3 linked regions of the Lepisosteus oculatus genome follow. The protein of the gene in region 3 interacts with the protein of the main gene of each other region in a pairwise test. Links are inferred from orthologs where the notes say so. Each region holds a gene or a part of one and is shown on either strand. Other genes may lie near its edges.

Region 1 (7,851 bases), on a different chromosome or scaffold from region 3:
TTCAAAACCAGAATAACCACCTTGCTTTTAGGAGAGACTGGCCTGTGTGAAACAGACGTCGATGCTAAGAAACAAGCTCGGAAGCGATCCTAATCAATCTGTTAGAATTTATTGTTCCTTACAGTGCTGGGGCCACAATAAATCCCCTCAGAAAACTCAAGTTTCTTGGAAAAATCAAAGTAATGACTGTAGCAGATGCCAGGCATGGTGAATATTATCCCATATGTCAGAGGCAAAGGATTAAATCTTCCTACTATAATCTGAAGCACTGAAAAAATTGACTTTACAATTGCATTTCTAATTATACTTTTTAATATTTGAAGGTGATATTCACTTTAGAACTTTCCTTAAGCATCTGTAAAAAGTTTACTCAAAAGCTTAAACATTCAGCAGCTATTTAAAAGGCGAGGTATAAAGGTACTCTCAGGGAGCAGTGAGTGTGTGTTCTCCGTTGGCGTACAGTATATTGTTGTATCATATATTTTTTGGAGGGGAGATACTTTCCGTAAGACTCTTGTACCTTTCTTCAATCCAAACAAATCTAAAGCACATTCAAGTTTTCATAATTCCTGGAAACTGTAACTCAGGCTTAGGTCTGATGGTTATAATGGCTGCCCTTTTACCATTTTTGCTATGTTTTCAATCACACTGTGCAGATGTATTGGCCATTTAATTCTGTATTTCATTTCCCATTAAATATGATTTTAGGGCTTACTTTACCCTAGTAACCAGTAGCACTGAAATTTCTTTTTCTGAAACCATCGTGGAATATTGAGCCTTATAACACTTACAGTCCTTATTTATAAGAGTGCAAAAACTATTGTCTGCATATTGACATACACTGTAGGTATGTAATGATTACTTTGAATCATATTTTTATTACTTTATTACTGGTGATGTTTGATAGTCATCAGGAGAAACAGGCATACAATTTTCAGTTTCACCTGCATCTGTTGGTATGCTTTTCTTTTCTGTAATGATCATATTGTCACTGCAAAATAAGCACCTACTGTACATGCTTCTTTTTAAGCTGACCTGCAAAACTAATTTAGATTAATGAAGTTAAGTAAGCTTTCACACTTGATATCCATAAATTCAGGCAAGTATCATACAGTCTGGAAAGGTGATCCATTATTGTTCACTGAGCAGCGACTCCTGGGCAGCTCTGTGGAAAAGCCTGCATTGTTCTTGGCCAGACAGGAAGGAAGAGACCCTGTGATCGTGGTTGTGCTGAGCTGAGGGAAATAGGCTGTTGAGTGGTAACGGTCTCGAGCAAAACTCAAGATGATTTACCACTTGGACTACAATGCTAATTTACTCTTTTTTTTCTTCTCATCTTACCGTCTTACAAGTATTCTTTGTAGTTGTTTGTAGACCTCAAAACAGCAAGTTGTAACAGCGGCAGGTTTATTGGATCAGAGGGAATAGATACTACTGTATATGCTTTCCATGACATCATAGGAGGATGACTAATGGGACTTGAAACACATGACATAATGTAAATATAGAGGAATTTAGTTCCATACTTGGTTTTGAATGTAAGAACCCTAAATCTTTTAAAGTTGAAGCTAATTAAAAACACAATGTTCATAACATATTATAATTAATAAGAAAATGAAAGAGAAAGTTCAACTGAAATTCCTTTTAGGCCATGGGTTTGGCAATTTAAGTAGAGTAGAGTAGTAGAGTTTTTCCTACATCTCCTTTAACAGAACCTAATTACGTTTGGGAAGCTGCTGCTAAGACTTAAAAAATTATTTAAAAACCTGAATTACAGTATCATTAGTGCAATCTGCTGGAAATATCTTACTCAAAGGTGTTCTGAAAATCAAGAAACATAGTAAGCCCAGTAACAGAACCTAATAAAGAGCTGGACATACTTTCACTGTTCAATTCTTTTGTGATAATGTTTTTTCTGATGCTCTTGCATCCATCCATTTCTAACCACTTCTCCACACACAGACACAAACACATACATTCACAACAGGGCATATTTTTCCCACAAGCCAGTTGACATACCAGTATGTTTTTGGACTCTGGGAAGAAACCGGGGAGCCAGGTGGAAACACATTGAAAACATAAACCTTCCATGCATATAGCACCCCAGGAATGGAACCCAGGGGCCCAGTTCTGTGAGGACACAATTCTAAGCACTGTGCCACTGTGCTGCCTGTTGCTTTTTCAGATAAAACAAAAAAAGCATTAAAGACATTCCTAGGTATCAATTACAGCTGTCACTGGCAGGATTAAAGGAGAAAAAAGCACATTTTTAAAACATGAAATGTATTATCTCTGTTGCAGGGGCTGGGACCGAATACTCGCCAAAGTTGAAAGATCTGTAGCTTTGGTTTCCCATTAATCATATAATTAAAATATTAATTTAATTATATGCCGCCTTCACACTGCCTTTAATTGAGTTTTTCCAGACACATACATATTATTATAAAATAATCTTATTTTCAATCTTCATGGGCTGTCTTAAACTCCAAGGGCATTTATTACACACATTTGTAATGGATCAGAACCTTTGGGAGGCCATTAGTTTATTGTGTATACTGGAGAACAAGAAAAAGTTGCGAAGGTGGAGTCATAAGACTTGTACTACTTTGGCATGGTGAGTCAGGCTGTGCAGCAAACATCAGTGAACATCAGTGAATGGTTTGCTTTCCAAGGAGCCCACACATTTGTTGTGAAATTATTGGTTTCTGAACTCAGCCTAGCCAAATGTGCAGTGCATATATATACCCTACGCATGCTGTTGCTTCTAGTTTTTAAAAATCAAAATGATGCTAGCTGACCTTTACTGTTGTTGTCTCTGTTGTCGCTTATTACTGACAGCCTGCAGACAATCTTAAGGGGGGAAAATGATTCTCATGTCCCACTAAATTGCCAGTCTCCGACAGTGTGGGAACCTATTTAAGTTTATTTAAATAGTGCACTGTGGAGACACTTCAGTACGGGGATGTGCATTTAAAACTGAAAATGGAAAGCACTTTTTTATAGTGCTGTGGATGCCTGAAACTCCGGCTGTGTTGTCGAAGCCAATATCCTGTTTAATACCCTGGGTTCTTTCACAAAATGGATGGATGACATCCTCTGGTCAATTAGCCACTGAATCCTAGATAAGATGGATGGGACGAATGGCCTCCACTTGTAAATGTCCTGGAGGTGAACAGCTTTTATTGTTGAACATTGAAAACATTTTTTCACAATGAAAATTATTATAAATTGTCACCACTTACTACTTACTAGTTACTAGAGTTATTATACATACTCTAGGTACGTTGACATGAGGTACATGTATGGTTAGTATGTATTGTGTATTGTCATTATAACCTTTGAACAATATACATAAAGAGCTAAATAGACTGTAAACATTTTTCACAGTGCTATCTATATATGATTATATAACAGTTGAACAGAAACCAAATGTGTGTAATTTTAGATACCCCGCCGACCCAGCACTATCGAAACCAGAAACCATAGCATCATATGCTATACGTATAAATACGTTATGCTGTTTTTCCATCCTGCAAATCAATTACACAGCCCTAATAACTGTATCGCATTCAGCAGTCCTAAAAGCTTGAGGTTTCGACTCAAGCTTTTAGTGAATAATGACTTAATCGTTTCCCACAGTTACTGTAAAATTAAAATAAACTAAAATAAAGAACCCAAGCATTTAGCATTTTGCTGTTTCTTAGAATGCTGAATGCGTCTCTCTCTATTTATTCTATTATAAATACTTCAATGTATTATTGTTGCTGGTGATGGCGGTGGTTTGAATTGTAATTTGTGAAAGAGAATGGCAGCTGTGGAACCTTGTGAAGACAAACACCACTTACCTGGTCGATGTGCGCCCCCTGGCGTGCGATACTTGTTTCAGCAGCAAAAGCCTTGTAAAAAATTATAAACAAACATGGCGGTCGACCGGTGGGAGTGAAAGAAACGTCTGTGCATCTTAACGGCGAGGATTTTTAACTGCAATTTCCCAGTATGATTTCATATTTCTTGTATATGACACACCTATATGGGTATATGAACACAACAGGATTGGCTGTAAAAATGATTTTTACACTTGAAAACTTCAAGGAGCTTCGTAAAGGGCAGTTAGATTCTTACTGAGTGCCTGCGTGTTGACATCAGGTTCTGTAGGTAGAAGTACTTTACTTTGTTGTATTAACAATATTGAAAATATTAGCTCTGCGTTTTGGGCATGTGATTTAGCAAGAACTCACTGACATTTCGGTTTGAAGTTAGAAACTACTATTTTCAGTTGTAGCACTCTTTAACTCTGAAATGAGACGCCCGCTGTCATTCTTCAGTAGGACAGATTTTATTAATTTAAACGTACATACTGTACAGTATGCAGCACGCTAGTGTGAATTTAAGATCTGCATGTAGGGGATTTACCTACCGTGTTGTAACTACAGTTTTCGATATAAAATACAAAGCAAGAATTATGATGTTACTACAACAAAATGCATGAAAAATTATATTTATGTTCATCTAACGAAAAAAAAATCAAAATGTATTTATGCACAACAACCTCAAATTGCTGTACAACAGTATATAAAACAGAAACCAAAAGAAACCCAAACATGCACCCCATGTTTTTCAAAGGGGTTAAACGCTTCTCCACAACTGTATTTGGGTCCAGATCAAGGGTGGATTAATTTTTAAACACTGAAATTGCTAGTTTACTGCATGTTTAAACTAAATTATTCCATATTTGAAAGTGTTGATTTTGTTAATTCTGAGATTTTGGGTATATATAAAATAGGAATAAATATCATACTTACTGCTGCTGATTACAGATTTTGTGATATGCTTCCATAGATTGGCCTGATGATGGACACACAGGGAATCATTTGTCATACCCGTCAAATTGAAAAACGTCTCCATGAACAGAACCATCAAGATATTATGCTCTTATTAGAGGAATTAGAAATGGCTCACATTACATTAGAACAACTTCAGCAAACAGATATTGCAAAAGTTGTTTATCGGGTCTGTAAAACCTGCCAAGGGACTTTGGTGAAGAAAAAAGCGAAGGTTTTACTGTCAAAATGGAAGAAGCTGTTTACCAATCCTTGGTGCAAAGCATCCTATCACCTTGCAGGAAAAGGCCCTGATGAGAAAAACAGTACTCGAGGGCCACACACAGAGAAAAACCCATCCTGTTGCCAGTCAGAAATAAATGAGACTCACTGTTCACAGTGCGGTCAGTTGGAAGGAAACGAGAGCTTTATCAGTGAGAAAGACAAAGCTAAAGAGACTAATGAGGCAACACAACATAATTTATTCCACTGTGTGGCCAGCAGAGGGGAGGTACTGAAAGAAGATGAGTTTGGTTCAGCAATAAGCAAAAATGAAAACAAAAGTGATCTTTCTAGATTGGAAAACAACGGAAACACCCCAGCAGTTAGATCCCAGCCTGGCACAGTGGAGAACGCTGGACATGATACTTCAGGGGTGACTCTGGAAAAGGTACAGCCTAGCAAGATACCTCTTAGGTCCAAATGTATACAGCTGCTCTTTCAAGCCCTTATTCCTGAGGGAGCTGAGCACACAGAGTCCGCAGGGAACTGTCAGGAAGTTGCCTGTGCGATTGAGGAGCACGTTTTTATCCTCCATGGGAAAAACGAAAGAAAGTACAAGTCTTTCATTAGAAGTAAAGTTTCTAACTTAAGGAACCCTAAGACCCCTCACTGGCGTCAAAACCTGCTGGGTGGACAGCTGAGCCCTAAGGTGTTTTCTGAGATGTCCGTGATGGAACTGGCAAGTGATGAGCTAAAGCAGATGAGGTCAGCGTACATAGAATCTGCCATTAATGAACACCAGCTTCCCCAAGGCGTGGGCGGGACCCAGACAGATAAAATAAAGTGCCGGCGATGTGAGAGGTTTGACTGCACTGTGACACTCATTTCCAGGGGTACCCTCTTCCTTCCTAGTTGGGTACGCAACGGAACCCCAGATGAGCAGATGATGACTTTTGTCATCTGTAACAAATGTGGTGAGAAATGGTATAACAGTGGATGGATTTGTTTATAGTAACTGGTGCAACCGGTTCGAACAGTACATGTTAATCATGGGTTGAAGGTTTGCATTTCTGGTACAGCTCGGCTCTCTCCGTGGCACTATAAGACAGTTGTGATGATGAGGATCTTTAAGTCATTGTGAAAATGTTGTTCTTTTTTTTCCCCCAAAGTGCCTCACATTTGTACTGGTTTGTGCAGTTACATTTTTGTGTGTGGATTTTTTGTGATAAGCTACTGTGTGTCTCGTTTTTATGTTATTTTTTGTGTTTGGTATTTTTGACTCTGTATTTTGGCCAGAGATTGAATGAAATTTTCAGAATTTGTTGAAGTGAACTGGAAGAACACTTATTAAATTAAAATAGCTATGCAGTGATTGAAGATAATATCTCAGCAGTTTCTGTTCATTTTTATTATAGATGAATAAAAAAGGCCATCCTTTGTCACTCTCATTTGCAGAACACAGTATGTGTCAGCAAGTACAGCTATAAGATATGCCATGGACTGTATTTTAATCATATTTTAGGAAACTTGTCTTTTCAAGATAAGCACATTACATAAAACAGAACCTCGAAGAAGCTGAAAGTGCCTAAACAGTTGATAATTTAACAGACTAAATCTTGATCCAGAGCTGCATTACTATAAATATAGATAATAGAAAAAGTGTGCAGAGTAATCAATTTAACTGCACTTAGATCATATGGTCTTTACTCATACATGTGACTTTGTTCAAAAATGCTCTGCATGTGACTTTTTTCATGTCGTAGAAACTTCAGGAACCCTACTGCATGGTACAACTCCTTAGCCTGTCAGAGTTATAATTTAAGTAATGGCTGAATGCTATTCATTTGTATTTCAAAGCAGATTAATACTATATTCTTGTCAAGCTTTATCAACGTGAGATATATGATTTAAAATCATCTATGCCCAGTAATACCTAATAAGTCATTTTATGTGTGTATGCTTTGGTTTTAAATTTCTAACTGTATTCCTTCTATTAATGTCACACCTGAAGAAAGCTACTCCGTCAAAATGTTGTATCTGTTCCTTTCAGTATGGAACAAACCTTTACCTGTTCTATTAAATTCATTGTGCCAATTTCAGTAGACATCTAATTACAGTATATACTGTATAATGCATTTTTGAAACAATTTGTGTTTAAAGTACACCCTGTTAATTCATTCCAGGGTTTCTTTTTTAGATTGTGAGAACTTTTCATCAGGAAATTTCCATAACCCATCATAATTGGTCATAAAAAGTGGTGCTACATGAGTTTTCCAATGTTTATAGATTATCTTTCTGTTTTGAAATCATAACAATGCTACTTAGAAATTTGGGGTATGCTCCAAAACTAATTAGTTGGCCTGACAATATTACATTTTAACTCTCTTCTTGCTTTGGAATAAATAATAAAATACTTTGAGAATTCACTAAGGTTACACAATTACAAAGTGTGAGCTAGAAAAATCTCTTTTAAAACCACTAATGGCAACTTTTTTGTACTTTAGCATAATATTGAGTTTTGTTTTTGCACTTTAGCATAATATTTTGTTGTGTGCACTTGTTAAACTATAAATTAATCCCTTAACTGTTCTCGAAAAAGAAAGGTCTCTGACGTTTCTATAGCATTCTACGACCTGGATTTTTCATTCTCAGGTTTTGTTTTTACCTTTTCTTTGCATTTTCTTGCTCAGTGATATTTTCAAAAATATATAGTTCTTTAATGAGCTATGTTTGCAGTTCAGTCTTCAGTTAGGTCACTTTTGTGGAATTATATTTAATATTCAATTATAGGTAACAATGTTAAGTTATG
Region 2 (8,043 bases), on a different chromosome or scaffold from region 3:
CGCACAGGCGGCGCGGCCGGCGCAGCAGGGGCAGCGGCTCCGCGCGGCCCGCGTGCAGGAAGCAGAACTCGCCGTCGAAGTGGGACAGGACCCAGGAGTGGGCGTTGTAGCCCAGCCGGGCCCCGTTCCCCGGGCCCTTGCGCTCCAGGCTGCCGTAGCTCACCCCCACCTTGAAGGCGGCGCTGCGCCCCACCTCCAGCAGCCAGCGGTGCGTCCCCGAGGAGAAGCTGCGGCCGCACAGCGCGTTGGGCCAGCGGTCGAAGCGCAGCGGGCTGTACTGCTGGGGCTGGCGCGCGCGCCTGGGCAGGAAAGTCAGGGTTCGGCCGTCGTCCGAGAGGGACAGCAGGGGGCTGACCGTCCGCTCGTCAAAGCTCAGGGGCTCAGGGTCTGCGGAGGAGAGAGGGGGGGGACAGGAGCTGACTCCTTCTGCACTCCAGGCTTTTCCAGCAGCTGCTACTGGTCAGACTGGTATTTGCACAGACCAGCACACAGTAACACTGAAAACACATCTGAAGTCTCCTGCATGGATTGTACAAGAGCCTGCAACTGGGAAAATCCGGACAGGATCAGAATGCTACACAGGGATACACTTTTAAATAATAATAATTCCTTACACTTATCTAGTGCTTTTCCGGACACTCCATTCAGTCCGTTCCCCACACACCAGCTCTCAGTGGGGAGGAGAGCAGAGTGATGGAGCCAGTTCAGAGAGGGGGGTTATTAGGAGGCCATGATCGGTGAAGGTCAGGGGGGAAATCTGTGGCCAGGACACTGAGATTAACACCCTTACTGTATTCGAGAAACACCCTGGGATTGTTAATGATCACAGAGAGTCAGGACCTTGGTTTGACATCCTTTTCTACAGTACAGTGTCCCCGTCACTAAACTGGGGCATTAGGACCCACACAGACCGCAGGGTGAGCGCCCCCCACTGGCCCCACTCACACCTCTGCCGATTGTGCACACAGACAACTCACCGCACTGACCAGAGCGACACAGCAGCACGGCATTCGCCCACAGGTTCAAAAGCAACGAGCTCTGGCTGCTCCTGGGGTTAAAGGTCAAGTGTTCGGAGTCCTGGGGCTCCCCCACCCCCTCTGCCACCTCCACCCTGCGAGAGAAGAAGGGAGCGGGGGTGACTGGCGGGCCTGGGGTGTTTTCGGAGCTGCCGTTAGCCCTGGGGGCCAGAGCCGCTCACCTGTCCGAGATCTCCTGGGAGCAGTCCTGTTGAAGAGAGCAGAACGGGTGAGGATTGGGAGAATGAGCGCGAGCCCGCCTGTCCCTGACCTTTGACCCGGCCCCCAGGCTCACCAGCAGCTGCCGGTCCTCGGTCTCCGTCAGCAGGCGCACCAGCTGGGCCCGCACGGCGGACAGCGAGCCGAGGGCCTGCGCCCAGTGCGCCCGCTGGGTGAGCAGGCTGTGCTGCACCCGCTCCTCCTCGCGCTGCACCGCCTCCAGGAGGCGCTGCTCCTCCTCGTCACAGGCCTCGCGCACGGCCGCCAGCCGCCGCAGCACCGCGTCCCGCGCGCGGCTGGCCCCGCCCTGGGACACACACACACACACACGACACGGGGTCAGGGAGCGGCGGTCAGGGTCCGGAGGTGTGGGTCCGCCGGTCAGGGTCTGTAGGTCAGTGTCTGGAGGTCAGGGTCCAGCAGTCAGGGTCTGGAGGTCAGTGTCCGGTAGTCAGGGTCTGATAGTCAGGGTCCGGTGGTCAGGGTCTGGTGGTCAGGGTCCAGCAGTCAGGGTCTGGAGGTCAGGGTCCGGTAGTCAGGGTCTGATAGTCAGGGTCTGGAGGTCAGTGTCCGGTAGTCAGGGTCCAGCAGGAGGGCAGAGCACACGACTGCACTGCTATGTGTCTGCTCCTGGGTTCTGACCCAGGTGGGCCGGTGCTGACCTGCAGGTCCAGCTCATGGGGCGGCAGCACATTGTTCACAAAGCGCTCGATCCGCAGGGCCTTCAGCTGCAGCTTCTCACACGTGTCCACCAGCTGGTTCTGAGACAGGAGGTGACAGGAGACTGAGACCCTGAGACACACTGAGGGACACTGAAACACTGAGACACACTGAGGACACTGAGGGACACTGAGAGACCCTGGGACACTGAGGACACTGAGACACACTGAGGACACTGAGATACACTGTGAGACCCTGAAACACTGAGACACACTGAGGACACTGAGACACACTGAGAGACCCTGAAACACTGAGACACACTGAGGACACTGAGGGACACTGAGAGACCCTGAAACACTGAGACACACTGAGGACACTGAGGGACACTGAGAGACCCTGAGACACTGAGGGACACTGAGGACACTGAGATACACTGTGAGACCCTGAAACACTGAGACACACTGAGGACACTGAGACACACTGAGAGACCCTGAAACACTGAGAGACCCTGAGACACTGAGGGACACTGAGGACACTGAGACACACTGAGGACACTGAGACACACTGAGAGACCCTGAGACACTGAGGGACACTTTGAGACCAGGAGCGTAACTGAGAGGTAATTATTCTTATAATAAATATTCCTATAATTAAAAGCAACTCTAACACCAGAATTCCTGCCAGTATCAGAAGAGCCTCCAGTCCTACTGGGAGTAAACTCATCAGCCCAGTGTGTGATCTCCTGTTCCAGCTGGAGCAACAGACAGTGAGTCTGTCTCACAGTGGTGTTTTACGTGATTATTGTCCAATAATATCCGCGTCTGTAAATGTTGTGTTAATTGTATCTGCATTGGCAGCACTGTCCTGCCAATAACGCACCGAGGCGCAGATAGTGCCCGCCCGCAGTCCTCCCCCACTCTCGGCACTGTTTCACGGCGCTTCCCCGTCACGCTGCGCCGTCAGGTGACTCTCATCGCGACACGGGGAGTCTCCCTCACAGCCCCGGCAACCGGCCCCGCAGGACAGGCTGGGGCAGCGCAGGGGCTCTGTTCTGACCGACAGGTCGACTCTGTTTACTCACAGCCTTCCTGCAGCAGGGCGGTGTCACAAAGACATGGCCATGCCCGTCACTGCTGAGAGAGCTACTGTAGCTGCTATTGTCCCGAGTTTGTAACCCGCTGTTTCTGGCTGCCTGGCAGCAGCGCCCTCCGGAACTCACCCGGACCGCACCAGCTCTCTGGGCCAGCTCCGGCCCCTGCTCTGCACCCCGCCGGCCCGGCTCGCCTTCCCTCGCTCCTGCCCCCTTGAGCGCCGGCTCCCCCGCCCGGTCTGGGCTCCTGGTGCCGGTTTCGGCGGCTCCGATCTTGACGCCGTTGGCCCCGTTCAGGCGGGTGGCGGCGGACGGAGCGCCAGCTGTCGGCGTGCTGGGCCCCGGGTGTCTGTGGGCGCTGTCCCCCGCCGGGGTGCCGCTGTCCAACGGGGACACGGCCGTCAGCGGGCCGCCCCTCGCCTCTGCGGTGCTCATTGCGCCCCAGCCGGGTGCCCCCTTGTTTCTGTCTGATATCTGCGGAAACCCGCCCGGCTCCGCCACAGGAGCGCGACAGGTGTGTGCCGGAGAGAGAGCGAGCAGTTACCTGTGACAGGTGAGAGGAAGCACCGACACGGAAGTGCAGGTAAAGGTCAGCGCGGCACTGGGAGCCAGTGGAGAAGAGGAGGAGGGGGGTCTCCAGACCTCAGACCCGATGCTCGCCAGTGCTCGCTCGTCTTTCCTCTCGCCCTGACTCCCTCTGAAGCCGTTCAACGGCACTGCGCGTTTTAAGCCACATGGAGCTCCTTCCAGCCAGTACCGCACTTGCACTGCGCTTTGTGAAACAGGAAACACAACCTTCCATGTCGCAATGATCCCGGAGGAAGGTAGGTCTGAGCCACAGCCCAGGCAGGCTGAAGGGCTGAAGACACGGCGCTCAGGGGCAGAGCAGTCGCGCACACTGTGCATTCCTCTCCACACACCCAGCGGGGCGCCCGGCGCTGCGTGAGAGCAGTCCTGGTAAATCATCAATTCTCTCTCCCTGGACTTTCCCCCCTTTCGGTGCACTGCACCGGGAGTCGTACTTTCTGCCTGTCTCGGCAAGACATTTACACGCGTGGATTTCCCACATCCACGCAGACTCAACCCCTTGGGCGAACAGTAAGCTCTCTCACGGTGCAACCGCCTGTAATTCTCCCGCTCGCCACCAGAAGACGCTTCACTCGGACCCGGTGTAATCTGGGTCACGTTCTGGACTCCTTGTGCGAGTTTTCACTTCGCTGTGAGGCTCTGGTGCGGGCAGTCCGCGCTGTCCATCTCCTTTCCCGTGACGGCCGTCGGGTCTACTGCACTTTCACTTCGGAAACTGTTGTCTGTGTTGTAGCTCTTGATGCCGATGCAATGAATCGAATAAATGAATCTCGATCACTTGAACGATCGGGTACAGAGAGGTTCACCGCGTGCTTACTCGTGACCTGCCAGACACCTCAGTCTTAACGTCTCACCCATCAGAGTCGGGCGTCTCTCTGGGTGAAAGCCTGAGACACGAGAGAAATCGTGCTGCCGTGCACGACACACGCCGCCGGGGGGCGCTAGACCTCTTACTCCTGCCTTGCCAGTGCCTTAAATGTCCTTTAATAAACGTCCCCTGGATCACAAAGACCACTCTAACAGCAGGATGTGATTGACATTTATTACAAGCCCATTCACATATTCTCCTGTCACGTGTTTATTGCAACAGCCCATGCGATACCGAACTGGTTTCTGCTTCGAGCTCTCGGGCGTGCTGGATCACGTGGATGCGTGACCGCCCAGCTCCTTCCGCCTGGGCCACGCTGTGTAGTTTCGCGCGAAATCAACGTCAAAGCAGCCTGGTAACGGAACGCGATTACGTCAGGGGGAAGGGATGCGGGGGGGGGGAGATAGGCCTAGGAAATCCCGCCCTCCGATTGGTCACTTCGATCGAACAGCCTGACGTCACAAGGGGTTCGTCAGTGCCTAGGAATGACAAATGGGTAAAAAAAAGACAACCTGGCCGTGCGCGGGCTCTGATTGGCCAGGCGCTCCTTCCTTCCTGCTCTGATTGGCCGGAGCCGAGGCGCTCTCTACCCTGGCGGCCCCTCCCCCCCGCACCCCTCCTCCCGCCTGCCTTTCCGTCTCCGCTGCTGGAGCCAGCGAGCTGAGCGGCGGCGAGTCCAGCAGGCTTTGCCCGGGATCCGGACTGGACCGGGGTGGCGGGGCGCCCTGACGAGCTGCACCTCTGCGAGCATCACCTCTGCCAGCTTCCGCCTCGCTGTCTGGGAGCCCGGAGCGGGCGCGCCTCCTCCTGCCCCATGTCGGATTTCAAGCTGGGGATCGTGCGGCTGGGCCGTGTGGCCGGGAAGGTGAGCCATGTGTGTCAGAGAGGTGGGGGCGGCCGGCCGGCCGTCGCAGTTTGCAACAGCCCCGGAGAGCGGCGTAGGGCAGCCGTGGCGGCAGAGAGGGGGGGTATTTGTGCCGGTTTTCCCTGAAACGCCGCGTTCTCCTAACGTGGCGAGGTACCGGGACTATAGTGGTCGCTGGCGCACACCAGGAACCTCTCGGCAACGTGACACAAGCCGGCATGTTGCGGGCCCTGCGAGTCCGGCTGGGCTTTAAACGCCGCGACTCCAGCGAGACAAACGCGTCTGAAATCCTCTCGCCCCTCTCTCCCCTCTCCCTCTCGGCCCCCGGGCGTGCCCGCAGCCCGGCCGCCTCGCCGCTGCAGGGCTGGACGCGGTGTGGCGTGCGAGGCGGGGCGCCGGTCGCTAGAGGGCCGCCGGCGGGGGACGGGAGAGGGAGGCGAGACCGGGCACATGCGGCCAGCGGCCTGCTGCCCGCCGGCTGGCGGCTTGGCGCTCCACTCGGTGTTTCTGCGCCGGTGTAGGTGCGGGCCGGAGCGGGACAGGCAGCTCAGCCCTGCTTCTCTGGCGCATGCAGGTGCGTTTAACCCCGGCTTGTTGGTGCTCCCTGGCAGGGACCTCCCGCACCCTGTGCAGACGTGTCCTGTAAAGGCCCGAGTGGAGACTCCAGGGAAGTCAGCTGGCGACATAGAGCAGGGGGGTCCTTCTGTACACAAAGGGTGGTAGGAGTGTTGAACAGGCTTCCTAGCCTTGCTGGTGAAGCTGCTTTCAGTTCAGGGCTTTCAGGATCCTCGAAGTAACTATCTACTGGCAACCAGTAGGGGCGGCATCCCTGTTGTCTCGTGATGGTAAGAACGTGTGTGGTTCAGCAGATGGTTTATTTGGGGTGACTGAGAGAGACGGGGAGCTGACTGTGCCCCAGCTGAGCCGTGGTCCATCTCTGGGCCTCTCGGGCAGCTCTGAGGATGGGCAGCGGAGCCCCTGTGCTTGCGGTGTGGTGCAGGGAGGTAGGTATTTGGGACATTCCCCCCGGCCATGGGGGGTGTCGGGTGTCCAGAGGGCATGCTGGTGCCGTCAGGCTGCAGACTGTCCTCCAGCATGGTGCACTGGGATGAGCGGAAGCCCAGCTGAGGTCTCGACGAGGGCCGGTCCCGATTGCTGATGGTGTGTTCTCGGTCTCTCCCCTCCACAGACGAAGTACACTCTGATTGACGAGCAGGACATCCCCCTGGTGGAGAACTATGCCTTCGAGGTGAGAGCGGGGCGCTGTGCCCATGCGGGCAGTGGGGGGGGCGTGTCCGAGAGCCCCGTCTGACCTCCTCCTCTCCCTCCTCTCGCGCAGGCGCGGATGGAGGTGGACGCCGACGGGAACGGGGCGAAGATCTTCGCCTACGCCTTCGACATCAACAAGGGGCGCTGGGCGGGCAGGCCGCTGCACGAGCTGCTCTGGTGAGGACAGCCGCCCCTCGGCCTGCGCGGGGTCTGGGGGCGCCCTTGTGTCCGAGCGGCTCGCACGTCCGTCTCCGACACTTACTGTGCAGCTGCGGAAGAAGACCTGTGGCGGATGAGGCCGCGCTCTCTGCGCCTTCTCGTTGCTTCTGGCCTTGAGCCCGACCAGTGGCAGGGTGCCTCCTGAAGAGCTCGAGGCGCTTCTCCTGGTCCGCGTGTGCGTTGCAGGCATTCTGCTGTTGCACAGGAGTGAAGTGGAGGAAGTAAGATATTGGTCAGGACACAGAAAGCTACAGGAAGCAGCGCTGAGCGAGGTTTTGCTGTGATGTGTGCGTCTGTCTTCTGCAAGTGTGCAGGTTCATGCCAGGTGTCCACGCGCTGGCCTGTCTGCTGGCGTCCTCAGTCTTGTCCGCTGTCATCTGAGGGCCCGTCTCAGTTTGTCCTCCGTCTGCTCACAGGGAGAAGCACCGCGGGGGCATCGCTCCATGTTTCCAGGTCGTCCACATCAACTCCGTGACCGTGGACAACCGGCTGGACAACCTGCGTCTTGTCCCCTTGGGCTGGACCCCCAAACCCGAGGAGCTGTCCAGCAAGCAGAGGTACGAAACGCTGCCCGATCTGTTTATGGTGCTCGGCGTCTGTGGCCATGGCTCTGGGCTTCTGTCCAGCTGGTCAGTCCTGATGCTGGCCGCACAATCAGCAGTCTGGCTTCAGGGCTGGGGGTTTGTAGGTCAGTAAAAGTGTCTGAGTGTCTCTTCAGGCATGTGTCTCCCCGTCTCGGGGGTTTGTCTGCGTCTCTGGAGTCCCGGCACAGGTGTCTGACTAGGTCTGTGTGTCTCTGCCCAGGGAGCAGTCCCTGTACTGGCTGGCCATCCAGCAGGTGCCGGCAGACCCTGTGGAGGAGCAGTACCTGGAGCTGAGCCGCACGCGCTACTACAACGCCAACGGCGAGCTGGTGGAGGAGGAGGAGTGCTCCTGCACCTACTATGAGTGTCACTACCCACCCTGCTCGCTCATCGAGAGGAGGGTGAGTGTTGTACTGTCTGATGACGCGTCGTGCCTCTTCGCTGGTGAGCGAACACAAACACCAGAGCTGTTTAAGAACAGGAAGGTGTATTGTAAATGCCTCCGTTCAGGGAAGGAGTGACCTTCACCAGCCACACCTTGAAGGCTCTTGTCTCTTAAGGCTTTATCTCCCTCCTCTGTCCCTCCAGCTCCGAGAGTTCAATATCTGTGGGCGGTGCCAGGTGGCGCGGTACTGCGGCTCACAGTGCCAGCAGAGGGACTGGCC
Region 3 (7,244 bases):
GCGACTGACTTGGCAGCTCGAAGATGACGACTGGAGTGGCCCGTGAGCGCGCACAAACGTGCACACGCCCCTCCCCGCCACCGCCACCGGCCGAGGCCGCTCTCCTGCCCTGGGCCCCCGTGCGCGCCGCCGCTCGCACAGGGGCGCGCGGCCTGCTCCGTATGCAGAAGATCAATGATATTTCAAAAAGGCGAACGCAAAAGGGCTTTGATTAGCTCATTTCCTTCTGGCGTTTTCATAAAGCGGAGCTACGGGCTCTGTTTGCTCTTTTTTTTGTGCGTTTCTTGATTTTTTTTTCTCTCCTTCTCATTTATTTTCCGAGTCCCTGCCGCCGCATACAGTACAGGGCTCCATTCCTCTTTGTCTCTCTCCCTCCCACACGCCCGGACGTGCGGTTTCTATTTCTGCCCATTCCGGATGCCGGGCTAATGGGTTCCTTGAGGAATAGTTGCAGTCTGTGGGTGGGCGAGATCAACTGGAGCTCATGCTTGTATACCGGGAGATGGTGGGGGGGGGGGGAGCGGCTCGATACGGGGGCGGGAGGATGTGCGTCAGCTACCCAGAGAGCGAGAGAGACCGAGAGAGAGAGAGGGCGTGAACGGCGGAGGGGAAAATGGATTAGTGGGAGCAGGAAAGGACGAGAGAGAAAGAGAGGGAAGGAGCTGTTACCTCCTAGAGCCCCTGCCAGCCTGGTCAAGGCCCAGTGGTGTGTAAATAATCCTGGGAAAAACAGGGAGACGGATCCCCTTAGCACGACAACTCCATGTCTAGCCCCACCAACCTACGCCATTGCTGCTCTTTGTTGTAACCAACTCCTCCGATACAATATTGACTCCTCTGATTATCAGTTACGCAGCAGGTTGTGGCAGAACTGTGCACTGGAGCAGCCTGGAAGGGCTACAGAAGGTGTAGCTCTGGCCTACAGGAAGACGAGACCCAAGCAATCAAATTGCACTGGGGCCTTGTGACCATCCTCAGTACTGCAGACCTGAACCAATGTTGTATGACAGGCTAAGGCTGCCTGGATCTGCTGTGCTACCACCGCAGGAGCCACAGAGCACAACTGGCAACCAGTAGCTCACACTGGCCAAGTCACCACAGCATATTCCTGCATTGCAGCGCTGTCAGTCTAACGGACCGCACACATGCAAGGTTACAATCAAGAGGTCGTTCGGCTCAGCTGGCCCGTTTGGTAGTTAGTAGCTAATTGGTCCAGGGATCTCCCTGGTGGTCTAGTGGTTAGGATTTGGTGCTCTCCTTGCTGCGGACTGGGTTCGATTCCCGGTCACAGAAGCGTGTCTTTTAAGCCAGCAGCCATATCACCCTGCAGCTCACAACTGGCAGACCACTGAAGGTCAGCAGGTGTGAGCCTGGCCAGTACCTGATTAGGGGACATCTAGGGAAAAGCTAAGGTTGCTGCTGGAAGAGCTATTAGAGGGGCCAGTAGGGGGCGCTCATCCCGAGGTCTGTGTGGGTCCTAATGCTCCAGTATAGTGACGGGGATGCTATACTGTGAAAAGGTACTGTCCTTTGGATGAGACGTAAAACCGAGGTCCTGACTCTCTTTGGTCATTAAAATCCCAGAGCGTTTCTCGAAAAGAGTAGGGGTGTTACCCCAGTGTCCTGGCCAAATTTCCCATTGGCCTTTACCAATCATGGCCTCCTTAAATCCCCATCTCTGAACTGACGTCATCACTCTGTTCTCCTCCTCACTGATAGCTGATGTGTGGTGAGGGTACAGGTTCACTATTATTATACAGGTTCATTATTATTATTCACCAACCATTCCTTGAAAGAAGCCAGGGTCTCATCAACTTGGTTGAGCAGCCTGTACCACACTCCCACCACCCTTTGTGTAAAGGGTCTTAAATGTACCCCAGTGTAGGTGCACTTTTGTTTCCACCGCCTGAAAAAGGATAAAACCGAACAGCCTGGCAAGGCTCGTGGGGAGTTTTTTCCCCTTTTTACTGCTTGTCATTTCCTGGTATTTGCCTTGGGCTTGCTTCATCACTATCCCTTGCACTCAGCGTGACTTTGCTGGGCTGAGTTTCTCCCAGGCTCGGCGCCTTGCTGAGGCGGACTGGTGGTCGTCGCTCCCAGCAGGGAAAGGGGCCCTTGCTTTCGGGCTGCGCCAGTGGCCAGGCCGCCCCCTGCAACCAGAGGAAGGACGTGCAGGCATCTCCGGCTCCCCCACAGACGAGCCGATTGTGCCCCAGAGGACAATGAGTCTGCTGTCCCGGCAGAGGTGCTGAACAAGCCCTGCAGTGTGAGGCTGCCCCCACATGCCCCTGGGGCTGCCTGCGCATCCCAGCCAGAGGGGCCGGGAGCAGTCCAAACGAGCCTGAGTGGCCTCATTGTGTGATACGTATTGTCCCCCGAAATCTCTGCACTGGGACCTGCTCCTAGTCCGGGCTGCATTAAGGGGAAGCCGGAGCGAATTTCGTATTGCTCAGTACTCTGAAGCCCATTCGCAGAGGGGAACATCAGACCCTGAAAACTGCCCCCTTGTTCTTGCTCCTATAATACGACTGCTTGCTATCCGTTCCTACGGTGTCTCTCCAGAACGGATCCCTGCATGGCCCGATCAAGAAATCATGGTTAGGTCGCCTACTTTGCCCAGACATGTGAGGCTTGTCCCAGCTTCACTACCCCATCGCAGCCCGGCTGTGGAAGCAGTCTTCCTTCATCACAGTTTCAAACACGTAATCTGGCTTTTCAGCTGAAAAAGATGACAAATAGACATTGCAAGGAGGCAAGATACAAAAGACAGAAAAACATCCTCGGTCTTTACTGGATTCCTCCTAGTTACTCTTTTCAATCTTATGCACCAAGACAGCCCCTGCCTGTGCACCTCCTTGCACAAAGGCGCTCGTGCACGATCTTCTTAGGAACGGGGGTCTCAGACACAGCTCCCTGAGTGCCTAGTGTCTGCCTGGCATTCGCCGGAGTCATGAAACCGTTTGCCCGATTATTGTCTTTGTTGTACATGCGCAGGAGTTTTTGTCTTTGCCAGGTCTTTTATAGTTGATGACAACTCACTGCAAAACCCGGCTCAGCCTGTCTAGAAGGCAGTTAATTAACTAACGAGACCAGCTGGTAAGTCTGGGTGGGAAAAAAAAACAAACAGATACCAGTCCCCCTCCAGGGGGCTGTGTTCAAGACCTCGCCGTTAGAAAAGTCCAGTATTTCAGCAAATTCCACCCATTATAATTAAGACGATTGTATACCTGGCTCAGGAAATGGAGCCGATACAGGAATTATGGGATCTCCTGGGATTATGGGATCTCATCCCGAGTGGGACATTTGCCCATCACACAAGGAGACAACAACTGAGACAACAACTACCCCACCAGCATGTCTCCAGAATCTGAGAGGAAACTAGACACCTAAGAGAAAACTCACACAGACACAGCGGAACATGCAAACTTCACACAGACGGTTCCTCAGGTCGGAATCGAACCCGTTGCGCCGGCTTATATAATGAGATGTTGATATTTTGTAATGCTGGTGCTGCGAATTGACAGAAAAAAAAACATCTTAATTGTTTAATTGCTTTTAATAGGATCCACACAGTGACGCATAACGGCCTGTTGTGTAACGTCAGGGGATAAAAGAGAAGGTGGGCGATTTGCAGACGCCTTCGCTATTCACCCACTTGGACCTGCTGTCCTTCTCAAGCAACGTCATGGCGAAAACAGGAAACGAGACTGTGTTCGTTCTAGGGTGAGAAAGTCCCAAGCTAACGAAAGCCGGGTGTTCCACTGGTGCGATCACACAAGCAACCCAGCCGACCAACTACGTACACCGCGGCGGAGGTATGGGCACGCCAGACGCAGGCAGCCTGACAAGAAAACGCTGCTCTTGCATATCATACCGGCTGCAGTCGAGCGGAGAGTTTTCGAACGGTTTTATGTGAGCTGAGAATTACATCACTGGGGAATCCCCCCTTGTCAACTGCGTCACGCTTCGGATCCGTCGAACCCAGTCGGAAGTGGCCCACGCGCCTCCCCCGGACAGCCACACGCTGGCACGCTCACACACAGCCCGCTCCCGCAGAGCCGCGGTGCTGCTGATGGAGTTTTTCTGCTGTTCGTCATAAAACAAGACACACATCTATCATGTACCTTGTTTTACCAGTTTGCCAAGGTGTTTGTTGAATTATTCTAACCCAATAATAATAATAATAATAATAATAATAATAATAATAATAATACCGATGTTCACAAACGCACTCGAAACACTGTGGTTACGTAGTTCTTCACTCCTAAGCGCTATGGAGTGTGAAGTGGAGACAGCGAGACGTAGCTCTTCTGATGACAAGGAGCGAAGCTCTTTTAATACCCCGAATTTCACAGACTCCAGATGCACAACCCAAGTCATAAGAAGCAATAGATGTGTTTTACTCCCATAGATCTACAGGACTGGAGCCTTTTCGGCTGTGGGAACGGATGGTGGGTTATTATTATTATTATTATTATTATTATTATTATTATTATTATTATTGGTGATGGTGGTAATATTAATTGCATTGCTGATGTTTAATTAGCTTCTCTTGCTTTTAAGTTGCGTCATTTTTTCAGAACTTTTTTGTTCAATCAGAGGCTTGTTACTGTGTTACGGCTACTGCCGAAATGACCCGGGCGCCGTGCAGGCGGAGGGCGATGCGGACAGGGGCTGTCGCTGGGGCTCCGTGCAGAAGTCGCGGCAGTGCACTTGTGCGTGCACGACTGAGCCCGCCAGCGGCAACGCCGCTCTGTGGCGCTGGGGAGGTGTTGAAATCGACGGCAGCGGCGTGATGGGATTTGTCGACAGATCTCCGCGCCTTACTGCGTGATCCGCAGCAGTCTTTGAGCACTTGCACGGTTTGGAACGGCCTCGACACAGGGGGTGTGACTGGGTCGTTCAGGTCTCTTCAGGAGAAGAAACCCGCACTGTAGAGTTAGACGCACACACCAGACCGAAAGGAAGTTTGTAGGTGGCCGGGACCTCTCTCGCCGCAGTTGTGTTGTTGTTGGTTTTTTTTTTTAAAGAAAGGGTTAAAATGATAAAAGCTAGCATGTGAATCCCCCCACCACCCTATCCCCCCCAACTTCCACACCCCCACCCTGAAAGCCGCCTCTCTACCCGGGAGAGGAAAGCTCTTTTTCGGTCAGATGGCGCGCTGCAGTCCGCCCCCGGGTCTCTCTCACCCACACACCCTGCAAAACACTGTCTTTAACAATGCGGTCCGCCGAGAGAGGACAGTAGCCAGAGAAAACAGGCAGCCCGCAGGACAACAAAGTATCGGCAAGAGCAGAAATTAAGGGGGGAACAATAAATATTATCATAAGATAAGAAACAGGGAGAATAGGGGGGTACAAAAACCAGGCGGGCATGTTGGACCAAAGTTTCTAGAAGTTCTGCCTAAACGTTTCGATTCCTGTCTGCGCCGGGGCGGTTGAGGGGTGAACAGGGAGCAGACCAAAGCCGAGGCAGAAGACGGAGCACAACTCACCCATCGGGACTTAAGGGAGAGCAGGGGAGGGCAACGGGGGAAACTCTCCGTTTTCTCTCACTTATTTCCCCCTACACACGCTCCTCTCCCTGCGCGGTGTTTTTTTTTTGCCTTTTCCAATTCAGCGTCGGAACAGCGACGAGCGCGAAAGCGTGAGCGGGACAGCCGCGCTCCGCAGCGAGGCGAGCCGGGCAGCTGGCTGGGCGTTCCCGCCGGGAGCCGAGCCGAGGAGCGCGCCCGCGGGGCACCGTCTCTACGTGATCGCAGCCGACCGGGCGGATCCCAGAGAGGTAGGGCGATCGTCTTTGCTTACCCGGTGACCTCGGAAGGAGCGGGTGCCACAGCCGGCTGCCTTCGTGCAATTTTGGGGTGCGAGTGATCCCGTACGGCTGCGGGTGGCAACTTCTGAAACTGTAACTATTGTGAAACGTTCTGCGTCAGGGCTAGAGCAAGACACACCGGCGTAAACCCCTCTTCACAGATGCCGTTCAGCACTTACATGATCTTTCCCACCCCCAGCTTGTGCGCTTATTATTACGTTTGCAGCTGTCCGCCCGTTCGCAGATCCGCGGAATCGCGACGTTTGCGAGTCGCCGGTGTTTCAGCCGCTGTAGGCAACCATTCTGACTGCCTCCCTCCCCCCGCGAGCAGGTTGTGTTTCTGAACATACTATCCTGATCGTGTTTCCCAAGTCCTGTGCTTCGCCGCTCCTCCAGATAAGTCGCTTTTGTATTCAGACCCTTGTAAATCAAACTTTTGCTGACCGCTGTTTTCCGTCAACAGCTGCAGAAAACAGAATTCTGTACTTTCGGGGGATCTAGAAATCAGAAATTGCGAGCTGTGCTCCACGTCATACGGTACCTTTGGTATTTTTCTATCTAAACCCGCTGTCCCCCGAAGAGCGCGCACGCAGTACGCAACGATGTATTGTCGAGAGGACGAGGTTACTGTCGCAAGTAAGAAGCCCCATGGGCGCATCACAGCCAGGGGGCTCGGTGATTAGGAATATCCTGATAGCGGATCGGTTGGGTTGTTCTATTGCTCCGTGGCGAGGTACTGCCGGCCACCGTGGGCACGGCGCACCTTCTCCCGAGAAAGCGTCTCTTCTCCGAGCCAATAGACCGACGTCTCGCCAGACAGTGACCCCGATAAACCTTTATCTGCTAGAGGCGCCAAATGTCATCTCTTCTGCCTGTCTGGTCTTTCTGTGTCGGACGTGGCTGTGTCTTATCAGCATTCTTAAAAACGTGGGAAACGCAAGCATGCACTGTGTTAGATATCAGGATATCGAGGTGTTTTTGAAGAGTTGTCCCTCAACCGCTGCTGCCTTTGATATTCTCAGATTGCTCTGCTGGCGTGTTCAGTATTTAGTTTGCAGACAAGTGAGGTTCTATGCGTTTCGCTTTTCTGATTCTTTTTACTACTGTCTGCTACTGTGACAGCAGCTTAGGAAAACAAGCGGGCTGTGGCAGTGGAGTCGGCGAAGCACAAAGACGGCGTGGTTAATGGGATTTAGCTCCACGCACTTTACCCGATCTGTTTACTGGGATAAATACACGCCGCACCCCGAGTCAGTTCAGACCAGCTTCTAGCAAAATCCGAAATGGATCAAAGTGATGTGCAGTGGGAGTCTAGTGTTTCTCTGAGTAATAAACATAGTGGCAGCAACACCGCTAACAGCAATAGTGGTACTAATATGGACTTTCGGTTGTGATTGCTTCCACATGCACACGGTGCAGTCAGAACAAAG

What was found. The genes of interacting proteins can lie anywhere in the genome.
Region 1: the proteins of nab2 (region 3) and transcription elongation factor A N-terminal and central domain-containing protein interact in binary tests that used the Homo sapiens proteins (3 or more experiments, as listed by UniProt). The two-hybrid records come from large-scale screens. The link is inferred for Lepisosteus oculatus from reciprocal best matches to the Homo sapiens genes NAB2 and TCEANC.
Region 2: the proteins of nab2 (region 3) and zmynd19 interact in binary tests that used the Homo sapiens proteins (3 or more experiments, as listed by UniProt). The two-hybrid records come from large-scale screens. The link is inferred for Lepisosteus oculatus from reciprocal best matches to the Homo sapiens genes NAB2 and ZMYND19.

Annotation. Positions count from the first base shown.
Region 1 is NC_090708.1:21,959,054-21,966,904, forward strand, and holds the start of transcription elongation factor A N-terminal and central domain-containing protein, read left to right. Parts: upstream 1-4,848; coding exon 4,849-6,054; 3' UTR 6,055-7,851.
Region 2 is NC_090719.1:406,592-414,634, forward strand, and holds the start of zmynd19 (zinc finger MYND domain-containing protein 19), read left to right. Parts: upstream 1-5,040; 5' UTR 5,041-5,255; coding exon 5,256-5,306; intron 5,307-6,495; coding exon 6,496-6,555; intron 6,556-6,645; coding exon 6,646-6,752; intron 6,753-7,210; coding exon 7,211-7,351; intron 7,352-7,598; coding exon 7,599-7,779; intron 7,780-7,966; coding exon 7,967-8,043. Other genes in the region: bspry (B box and SPRY domain-containing protein), read right to left, coding at 1-387, 978-1,111, 1,199-1,224, 1,312-1,542, 1,898-1,996, 3,115-3,420. UniProt on the Homo sapiens protein: May be involved as a regulatory molecule in GPR24/MCH-R1 signaling.
Region 3 is NC_090696.1:15,543,286-15,550,529, forward strand, and holds the start of nab2 (NGFI-A-binding protein 2), read left to right. Parts: upstream 1-4,238; 5' UTR 4,239-4,448; coding exon 4,449-4,451; intron 4,452-5,619; coding exon 5,620-5,784; intron 5,785-6,154; exon of another isoform or gene 6,155-7,218; coding exon of another isoform or gene 7,219-7,244. UniProt on the Homo sapiens protein: Acts as a transcriptional repressor for zinc finger transcription factors EGR1 and EGR2. Isoform 2 lacks repression ability.